Arabidopsis thaliana: one gene and its partners. The protein of the gene in region 2 interacts with the protein of the main gene of each other region in a pairwise test. Each region holds a gene or a part of one and is shown on either strand. Other genes may lie near its edges. The genes, in order: IAA20, MIF2 and MBD1.

Region 1 (3,989 bases), on a different chromosome or scaffold from region 2:
TAGAAGCGATTTGCTCCGTCTCGGTCTCTGTTTTGCTTGATCCGGAAGCTATGATTGGAATAAACAGAAACCCTATATTTTGCGTAAGCCGAATACTTTTGTGAGTTTTAAGTTGCATTATTTATAGATGGGATCGAACTTGGGCTTAATCAAAGGAGAAGGCCCATTTATTTCCAAAACACAAAGTAGGAAATATCAGGTGGGAATTTGTTGTTTCCCCTGCCTCCTTCCTTGTATATATCAAATGTACATTGTGGTCAAATCGATAATCAAATCCAAAAATTCTTCGAAAATTTAGAAGTTGTCTCTCGACATTAATTTGTCGCTTGGTTTTCTTGACTACTAGTATTTTCTGAAACTGGACTACATCCTATTTGACAAACAAAAGAAAGTACATCCTATAATTTTATTTATAAAAGCATTCAACTAATTATATAAATTCAAATATCCAATGACCAATGGTCTGACTGGTTTAATGCACTGAAACATGATTGTCGATCGGATAATTGTTTTTTCCTTTTTTTACTATTTTTTTGTGTACTACCGAGAATAATCAGAGTGAGTTCAAGATTTATGTACTATCTATCACAAAAGAAAAATGAAAATAATATTATAAATATCCGACCATTGATTTACATCAGGCAAAAACTTTTTTCTTGGCATTACTTCGATTTAAACACAACAAGTACGTAGACTTATATATCAGTAGTGGTAATTAGCTCTTGAAATCTTCAGTCTTCTCACAGTAGACAAGAACATCCTGCAAAAAATCAACCCACAAATTAAAAATATATATAAGGATGATCATATAGTTAATTTTCTGCATAATTAACAATCTAATTATACAAAAAAGGATGAAAAGAGTGCTTACTCCCAAGGAACATCTCCAACCATCATCCAGTCACCTTCCTTATCTGCGTACGTTAGCACGTGACTCTTCTCATTGCACATGTCTTCTTCTTCAGCCCCTATATATTTCCATTTTTTCAATTCCCATCAGTTTTCATCATTTTTACAATTTACCCATTACACAGTACTTACACACTGCGCAATATATAAACTCTACCTACGGAATAATAACTCTGACATATAACGTTATCCAGATTTTTTTTTTGACAAACAAACAAACAACCTATGAAATAGTGATGGGCGATTATTACGGCGATATTAACCTTCAAACAAAAGAATAGTAATGAGCGGAAGTATTTTTTCATTCCGTAAAAAAAAAAAAAAAATCAAAACGGACTTATAAGAAAGAAAAAAATATCGTTAGAAATTTGCTACCTCTAAGACATATAAATCATTCTGATATGACATTATGTATACATAGAAACTTACAGAGAATGGATGCGTTGAACATGAAATCAAGGGTTCTGATCAAGTCGCGGTAGCCATTAAGAGACATTAGATCGATCTTTCTTCCAATTGGAACTCCTTCCATGTTCACTTTCACGTAAAAGCTCCCTACACTGTTACACTCATTCTCTTCTTCCTCCTCCACAGCCGCCACATATTCCGCATCCTCTACCGCCGGAGCTGCAACGGAGTACCCATAGCCACCGTTGAAATATTGAGTCCCTGAGGATGTCCCGAAGCTGAGTCCGAGTCTCAGGTCCGTGCTTAGGTTTCGAGTACTTGACGAAGCACCGAATGGGTTGCTCTTGCTGCTACTCTCTATTGAAGAAGACGATGAACTTCTCCCTCTTCCCATATCTCTAGCTCTCTCTCTCTCTCTCTATCCTTTTTATAATAATTTTAGGTTAAGACAAATGAGTAATGAGCCGCCATGCTTGGTTTGTACGTGTGTGTTTATATAGAAGATAAAACTAGGACTTGTTTTTATTTTATTTTAAATTTGATATGGTCTTAATTCGTATTTTTGTTCAAAGTTCACACAAATAAAAAGCGACGGTGGAATGATGAGACAGCGTCCGCTAAAAATGTTGTTAGTGTAGCAGACCAAAACACGTGTCAAACGATGATTCGATCAAAGTGTTGGTTATGATTTTGTGGGTTCGGTTTCTCGCTAGTTAATGTTTGATATCTAACCCCAAAAAATAAATATATACATTTAGCTGTTTTGATGATATGAAGTAGTATTAAAGTTAATATTGAGAAATTACATCTTCTTAATCGTGTTCAATGCATGAAAGGTTATCGTGACGCGCATTGAGGCGTTTGTGGAACTACATTACTTCCCACATTTCCAAAATTAATGTGTTTTCATATGACCTCGATACAATTAACACTTTAATCAAACAAATTATTTTCGGAAAGTGTTTGGGTAAATGCTTGCTTAGTAATCGGATTAACACTTCTTTCTTAAGTTAATTAGGTATAGTTCTTTACTTCTGTTTAACAAAAGTTATGACGAAAGTTACGATGTGGAGTTGTGGACCCATCATATGTATGCAAGCATGACAAATGTTTGAGCCTACGATGATTCAAGTCCAAGTCATTATTAACCATAAAACAATGCGATTTAGTTCCACCAGATGATTTGAATAATCAAAACCCCCAATAAGTAAGTCTTAGACCGATTTTATTTCATGTAAAAAGAAGATAAATCTCATTTTTGTTTCTTTACAATTACGTTTATTCGAAGCTTAGACATAAAAAAAAATTAGTCAACTACTAAACAAGTTGTATCAGCGCTGCCATAATCGGTCTAAAACGGACTATTCCAAACCGGTAAAAAGTGCCTATATAATGATGTAAATCATACGTAATATATTTGCGAAAGAGAAGTTGTTAGACGTAATAATAACTAAATAAATAGAGAAAATTTGAAAATTGAAAAGAAAAAAAAAAGCGAAGGAAGAGAGGGGGCATGAGTAATGAATGGTTCACCTTAAAGAGAGGACCTAATGAGAGTTCCTTTGTCTATGGAACTTAAGGAGACGTCACATTTCTCATATTTGCAAGCACGAGAAAAAGGAAACACACACACTCACGACACAACGACCAACGACTATATTTCTTGTCATTACCCACGTGGCATTTTTGTTTCCACGTGGACTCCCTCAACCACAACATGTACATTGTACAATGGATGCGTGCCTTATGGTAAAATTATATAATTTCATTGAAAATATAATATAAGAATCAAATTTTAATGGATGTGTGCTTCGTGACGAAACTAATTTCATTTCAATTCATCAAACTTCGTTATTATAATTTCATCCTTCACAAAATAACACAACGTGCAAGCATAGTGTAGCTTGGTTTGGATTGAACCATGTAAGCAATTAGAGACATATACGCACTAGAGTTGAAACCGGCTTGGTTCCCTCGCTTAATTCAGGTTTCGATATTTCAGTTTGGAAAAAATGTACTAATTAGTTGGAACCAATTGAGTTTTAGAGAAATATTGAAGAAACAAAAAAAAAATCAAGAGAAAAAGGATAAAGGAGAGATGTTCCCTAACAACACTACAAATTACAATTTCCTCACTTTCTTATTTTCTTACTGCCTCCGCCTCCTCTCTGTCCCCTCTTTTCTTCCATTATTTTCATTTGCATCTTCTCTTTATTTCTTTGCAACTTTAATCTTATGATATGTAAATTGTAAATATACTCATTTTTTTCTATATTGAATAAAAAAACTTTTGTTAGAAAAAGATACACATATACGATATTTCCTCAAAAATAATATGAAGTACTGATTTTGGCAGTCATTATAGAATTGCATTTTATTGGAAAGATACACACATAGTTCAAGTACTTTATATATGCGCTAATTTTGAGAACTCCACTTTACTGCGTCGTGGTTGCTTGTCAGTCAAAACTTGGGCTTGCTTTTAAGATGCGTGATTGCATTTGCATGTCTCGTGGCTTTCTTTTTCTGTAGCCCCTCTTGTTGGACTAATCATAGCCTTTTGTTTCCTCCCTTTGCTTTAACATTACTGAAATTATCGGATTGTTTCTTTCATTTGTTGATTGGATGTATGTTTACATTATTACATGTGTATTCATTGTTATAATATACAA
Region 2 (3,268 bases):
ATAATTTTCTAAAAAACAAAAGATCAGAAAACCACAAGCCATTATCGTGTATGATTAGTTCTAAATCTAATTTTTCTCCATCATAGCAAGTTAGCAACCAACAAGGATTAGATTTGTGGGCCTCCGCCTCCCAATTAAATTCAAATTTATTTGCCTATCTTTTATCCTCTGAAATAAAATTTGAAAAATCTCTCTTAAAGCTAAAAGGTTATAGAATATTTTAATATATACTATTTTTAATTAAAAGCTGGGAAGGCATATATCCCTGAAAATATTGGTTCTCATCATAGCATAATTAAGAAATCTGAGCTTAAATAATCTAATCGGTCTCGAGTTAACATGCCCTTCACATAAATCTGAGCTTTATGCACTTCACATAAAGCTAAATATTTTAAGATAAATCATGGAAAATAGTGTGAGACTTAACTCCACCATTTATATTTTTTAAAAATAAAGCTATAGGAGTGGTCTCAAAGGGATCAATTTAAACCTTTTTTCATCGCCTCCCAAAAAAAATATTTACTACAATCATTAGTGATTTATTTATACTAATATATACATATATATATATATATAATTAATTAAATTAGTTATTGAGATAATCAATAAATGGGTTACTATATTCAGCTACCTTATCACAAGCGAAGAACCTTCCATATATGTTAAGGAACAATCAATCTCATTCATTCATTTATCAGTAAATACACATATTGATTTTGTAACAAATTCCTTTCACAATACACTTAACAATTGTCTTGAGTGGACGACATTGAATTGAAACACGAGTACACCACACATGCTTCGTCAGCTTCGACAAAATAATCAAAATAGATCAAAATACAATAACATGACCCAACCAGAATACAAATCAAACAATATAATACATGAAAAACAACAATAATCTTAATATTTCACTTCAGAAGCCTAACCTTTTCTGAACATTCTCAAACCCCAAAAGCATCCAATTATTATAAATCTTTCAATGCTTCCACCACCTTCAATCTATAAATCTCTTATAGTTTCTTCTTAAATTCACAAAGAAACACAAGCCTTTCATATTAAAGAAGAAAAAAAAGCAAATAAAATATTTTCAGTTTCATCATCTGTATATGTAACACACAAACACACTCATAGCTAGCTCTAGATTTTTCTTATCTAATTTCCAGTAGAAGGAGGTGAATTACAGTCGCAAACAACCTCGGTTTCTATTTCTCTCCGATGGAAACTGCGATGGCAGCCACAGGCGGCGCACGTTAGCGCTGCCACGGTACCTTCCTCTCCTCGGCTTGCCATGAACTCACGGCAGCCGTCAACAGCGTAACCTCCCACCGCCGCAGCGTGGTTCTTCTGACATTCTCCGTACCTCACAGTTCTCACTGTCAGAGACGAAGCCGTCGACGAGCTTCTAGAAGGTTCCTCTGGCGAGGCTCTCCTCAACACCACCTGACGCTTCCTCATGCTTTCTCACTTCAATTCTCGTCTCAGCTCTTTCTTCTTCTTGACTTTTTTTTATGAAATCTAAACTTGTAATAATGTATATATATTAAAGAGGAAGAGAAAAATGTATAATAAAGTTTTTGTTCTTTTACTTTAATTTCTACGGCTCGAAATAGTTAGGGAGTGAAAGATCAAAACAATTACAAGAGGACCTCGGTTGTTAACCCTAACCCTAGATGTGATATTTATAGCATTTCTGATAGCAATCGACAACCAAACCTTAGATATTTTTCTTGCAACTGCATATATATATATATATATATATGTGTGTGTGTGTAGATGTACATGTCATGGTATAGATTGATGCATCATCACAACCAATCAGACCTACTAAGCTAATCTACCAGAATTTTGTTTTTGATGGGTATATCATATATGTATATCTGTCTTTTGTAATTAAATGACCACAACTATGCATTGAATTATAATTACAAGTTTTGTTTTCTTGTTACCAACCTAAATATGGTGGATGTTTTCTTTTTGGCTCATGTTATACAAAATTCAGATTATGTTTAAAGTATCGTAATTTTTGTTTTTGGAATACTAAGACACTTTAATATTGCAATAATGCGTACTAGTACTTGTCTCATCCGGTTAGAAGAAATTGAATAAGTTTATGCTGAATCGAAATTGGAATCTACTGATCTCCAGTTAAGAAAGAGATTATATTTGTCATCGTTCTGATTTTTGATCCGAATGGACGGACCAAAATGTCATAACTCCAGAGATACAAAAACAAAACATTCACGAGACATGGAGCCACCACTTTGTGAGTTAGGCACCCGTCTTTAGTTGATAATATCACCCTTATACATTGTATTTGGATCTTCCAAACTTCTGCTAGATTCCACTTTCGCAGAATACGTACTCTTACATTCCAACAAATATATATTGTGCGCTAACTAGTAACCATAACCATAAGCCATAGAATAAAATGAAGTGGATGAAGAATTACAACCTGCAACAGTAAATATATTACGACAAAAATTAAATTATGTGTGGAAGTTTGTGGATGCAACTTTTGTTCGATTTATTTTGCGAGAAAACCCTAAAATGATGAGAAAGCTTTTCTTTAAGACCAAACAAAGTGATTGGTTTTAAAAGGAAGGAAACAGCTAAGCTTGTCTTTTTAAGACCTAATATGTACTGTGGTGGCCCCCTTTAACATTCATCCTCTTTAATCCTCTTTTTATTTCCTTCTTTCATTCTATTTTATTTCATAATTAGACAGGTGGTTACGAAAATTATTTATACGTATCATAAAGAATCGAACTTGGTATCGAGATCGAATATATATGCATAGACCAAAAAGTGATTATGTCGGCTATGTGATATCTTGACCCACTTCTATAGTATACCCGAGGAATTGTACGGATTTAAATAAAAAAAATCAATTTTCGTTGTAATCTAAGTACCAATCAATATATTTAAGATTGTATGATGAATAGTCATGAACAAAAATAGAAGTGTGTATAAATGTATATACATTTGGACCTAACAACGTGGGACTGATAAGTTGGGCTACCAAACCTATTTTGTACATCATGAGGACAACGCAATCCTTCACGATCGCTTGCTCCTTTGCAGTTACGTATCGATTTTTTTGAATTACACATGCATACATTCATTCGTTTTTCGGTTAGACATCAAATTTTCTTATTCATGTGTTCCGTCAATCCTTTGATATTTTTATAAGAAATACATTGATATTTTCTCCTTCCAAATTAGATATAAACATAAATCATGAGATGGTATATAACAATAATTGCAT
Region 3 (3,769 bases), on a different chromosome or scaffold from region 2:
AAAGTGCAATCAATATAAACCGCCTCGTTCTCACCATTGTTCAGTCTGTAAGTCTCTTCAATGAGTGATTCTTTTCTTTGAATCCGGTATATGTGTTTTTTAGTAGTGAAAAAGTTGTCATATTGGGTTTTCAGGTGGAAGATGCATACTAAAGATGGACCATCACTGTGTTTGGGTGGTGAATTGTGTTGGTGCAAATAACTACAAATCATTTCTCCTATTCTTGGTATGTCAACTTATCATAGCATCGCTGAACGAAGTTGTTTTTGATATGTTCTGTTCATTAATGTTGCCATGATCATAATCCATTCCCAATATCTCAAAAATGCAGTTTTACACATTTCTTGAGACAACGGTGGTTGCAGTATCACTATTGCCAATTTTCCTCGTATTCTTCAGCGATGGAGATGGTGATATAACCGTATCACCAGGAAGCCTAGCAGCCAGCTTTGTTGCATTTGGTGAGTTCAAAGATATAGAAATCTCAGTTTCCGTTTTTGTTTCAGAACACCTTAACGTTACCATCTGATTCAAAAACTTCACTCTCTTGCTTTCCAGTATTGAACATAGCATTTGCCCTAAGTGTCCTAGGCTTCCTAATAATGCACATAATGTTGGTCGCTCGTAACACCACAACTATTGAGGTAAAGCAACAACTCTCACTTGGTTTTGCTCTTAACTTGGGTTCTCTCAGGAATCTCCATGTCAATAAACTCACTGACCAAACTAATGGTTTCTTTAATCTCAGGCGTATGAGAAGCATACAGTGAACTGGCCATACAACGTTGGTCGTAAGACAAACTTTGAACAGGTTCGCTCTCCATCTTCTTTGTTTCACTCGTTCTTCAGTGACTGATTCGTTTCCCCGCTACTTAGATAATATCTTTGACATCGAACACAATGAAAGCTTTAAAAAGTTTGGTCTCTATTCCTTTGTTGAATCAGGTTTTTGGAAGTGATAAAATGTATTGGTTCGTGCCATTGTACACGGAAGACGATAAGAAGAAGTTGCCAGCACTTGGAGGGTTAGACTTTACGAGCAGGTCGGAGTCCGAGACAGAGCCGCTTCAGTCTCTATGACCTTACAAACTTGAAATTTTTGGAAGTGTGTCTTCTGCTTTGTGTATGTATCAATCAAATATTATATCAAACATTGTCTTGTGTATTATAAAGATTAGTGCCTATTGTGGAATTTGTATCTTTTTATTTCGTGAAAAGAAATTTCTCAAACTTCTTAAATATACCATTTTCACATTTGCTTAAATATACCATTTTCATTTTTTCACTATTGATAATAATAACATGTTATTTATCATAAAAAATAAAAAAATCACGACACGTGAATGATGTACTGTAACTATCAAAGATTTGACGTACCACATACTTTCTGTATGTTTTTGATCGAATCAAAAATAATTATTTTTGTCCTTTTTTGTTTTATTGTTATTTTATAATGTAATACTTTTACTAAAATAATTTTTTTTAAAAACTAAATTTCTGGTCTATATAATTTTGGCCAAATATGTACATATTTAAAATCCAGAGTCAACCATTTAACAAACACTTGGAAATTTAATTAATTATTATGCCCTGTTTAGTAGAAAATCCATTAAAAATTACAGAAATGGTCTGCGTGTCGCATTGAACCAATCATATCTCGACATCTGTAAATACAGTTGGAGAAGATTTTTTCTTCTTCTGCTGGCCAAAAAAAAACATTGCATTAAAAAGGGTTCAAAGAAAAATTCTCAAATTCTCTAACAAAGAGCTCTGAGATTTTTGGAAATCTGAATCGTTGTTCGAGGTATGAACTTTTGGATCACTCTCCTTGAATCTGCTCTTTGATTCGATTTCGTACTTGAATTTCGCAATTTTGGAGTTTTCTCTCGCTTCGTTATACTGATCGTTTAGGGCTTGAAATTGAAGGTTTAATGTTACCATTTCCGGCAATGAACTTGAAGAAGTCTCGATCGGAAAACTCATCAGTTGCTTCATCTGGAAGTAAGATTGAGGAGCAGACTGAGAAATCAGCTGAACCAACAACCATTAAGGTAAACCTCACTAAACCTAAACCCGGTTTCAATTTTGCTTTGTGGTCTCTCTTTACCACACAGATCTTATCATTGAATTCTATCTCTTAATTAGGGTTTTAGTTGAGAATCTTAAGGTTTTTTTTCAACCAGTTTCGAAGACTTAGTTACTAGTGTTATTTGACGAACTGATGCAGACATAAAGGTTATAACTTTATTTCTCGTTGTGTCTTTGGCTGATCAGTTATGTATAAAATTTAATCAATATTTATGCTATTTAAGGTTTCGCAGTGACCCTTTTCTTCAAATTTGGTTTTTGATTCTGCATGTTCTCAGTATCACTCTTTTGGTGGTGTCCCTGTTTTGACTTTTGTGTTTCTCTACGCATGTTTTCTCATCTTGCTATATATTAAACGATTTGTAGTATGATTCTGTTGATCCAAGTAGCTTGTGAGTGACTGTTCTTCTTTTCACCGAGATTCCATATTTGTATTGTGCAGGTGCAGAAAAAAGCCGGTACTCCAGGGAGGTCGATAGATGTCTTTGCTGTGCAGTGTGAGAAGTGCATGAAGTGGAGGAAGATTGATACTCAAGATGAGTATGAAGATATCAGAAGTAGAGTACAAGAGGACCCGTTTTTTTGCAAGACGAAAGAAGGTGTGTCCTGTGAAGATGTTGGAGATCTAAACTATGATTCCTCCAGAACATGGGTCATCGACAAGCCTGGCTTGCCGAGGACACCAAGAGGGTTCAAAAGGAGCTTAATTCTGAGAAAGGATTACTCGAAAATGGATGCGTACTACATAACTCCTACTGGGAAGAAGCTCAAGTCTCGTAATGAAATCGCAGCCTTCATCGATGCCAATCAGGATTACAAGTATGCACTGCTTGGAGATTTCAATTTCACAGTCCCAAAGGTGATGGAAGAGACGGTTCCTAGTGGGATATTATCTGACAGGACCCCCAAGCCATCAAGGAAAGTTACAATTGATTGAGCTACATAGCGCTTCCCAGCTTCTTATGGTGTTGAAGTTGTTATTGGAGTCAGTTTTAGGTTTCTATCTGGTTTAGTCTTTTAAGGGTGTCGGACTTCTTACTGTAGAATGTTTCTTAAACTCATCTCTTTGACTCTGATTGGATCTTTATTTTCTAATGAAGGATTATCTTTTCTTCTCTTTTTGTTATGTCACAAGTCACAACTACATGAATCGCTCTGGTTTTCACTCAGTGTGTACAAACAAACACGACAAAGTATATTCAAGCAGCATGTGTACAACTTCTTCTACTCCAAGCGCACCCTCTGCTATAGCGTGCGGTGTGCAAGTCCTCGCTTATGGGCTATTTATCCCATTCAACATTGAGTATTGGTCATAACCTCTTGGGACTGAGAGCTTTATGAAAAGAAGCCTTAAACAATGATTGCATATTTGGGATTTTCAAAAAGAAGACTCACAACATAACTTTATGTATGTTTCCGCTCTTGGGTTTTCTGACCAGCCCTTGAAGCTAGTCCTTTCTCAAGGTTTTGTGTATGTTTCATTAGTTTTTGTTTGTATCTGGAGTCTACCGTTTATTAGAAGTTTAGGTTGCTCCTTCCACCGTCCTTACTCCTTGGTTTAGTTGAATAAGCAGTTTTCTCATGTGGTCTTACTTGGTATGTAAAGGCTAACCTTTTGTGGGCATGCAAAGTTCTAAATTTAGACTCTTTAGGATGAAGATTACATGGCTACAATTTTTGA

The links.
Region 1: the proteins of MIF2 (region 2) and IAA20 interact in binary tests that used the Arabidopsis thaliana proteins (3 or more experiments, as listed by UniProt).
Region 3: the proteins of MIF2 (region 2) and MBD1 interact in binary tests that used the Arabidopsis thaliana proteins (3 or more experiments, as listed by UniProt).

Annotation. Positions count from the first base shown.
Region 1 is NC_003071.7:19,305,583-19,309,571, reverse strand, and holds IAA20 (indole-3-acetic acid inducible 20), read right to left. Parts: upstream 1,859-3,989; 5' UTR 1,712-1,858; coding exon 1,339-1,711; intron 969-1,338; coding exon 872-968; coding exon of another isoform or gene 868-871; exon of another isoform or gene 761-867; coding exon 703-760; 3' UTR 501-702; downstream 1-500. Other genes in the region: AT2G46995 (uncharacterized protein), read left to right, coding at 1-104.
Region 2 is NC_003074.8:10,923,204-10,926,471, reverse strand, and holds MIF2 (mini zinc finger 2), read right to left. Parts: upstream 1,765-3,268; 5' UTR 1,459-1,764; coding exon 1,156-1,458; 3' UTR 659-1,155; downstream 1-658. UniProt on the Arabidopsis thaliana protein: Inhibits zinc finger homeodomain (ZHD) transcription factors by interacting with them to prevent both their nuclear localization and their DNA-binding properties.
Region 3 is NC_003075.7:11,946,677-11,950,445, reverse strand, and holds MBD1 (methyl-CPG-binding domain 1), read left to right. Parts: upstream 1-1,641; 5' UTR 1,642-1,804; intron 1,805-1,926; 5' UTR 1,927-1,931; coding exon 1,932-2,051; intron 2,052-2,530; coding exon 2,531-3,025; 3' UTR 3,026-3,236; downstream 3,237-3,769. Other genes in the region: AT4G22750 (DHHC-type zinc finger protein), read left to right, coding at 1-47, 135-226, 332-461, 559-644, 749-811, 946-1,080. UniProt on the Arabidopsis thaliana protein: Probable transcriptional regulator.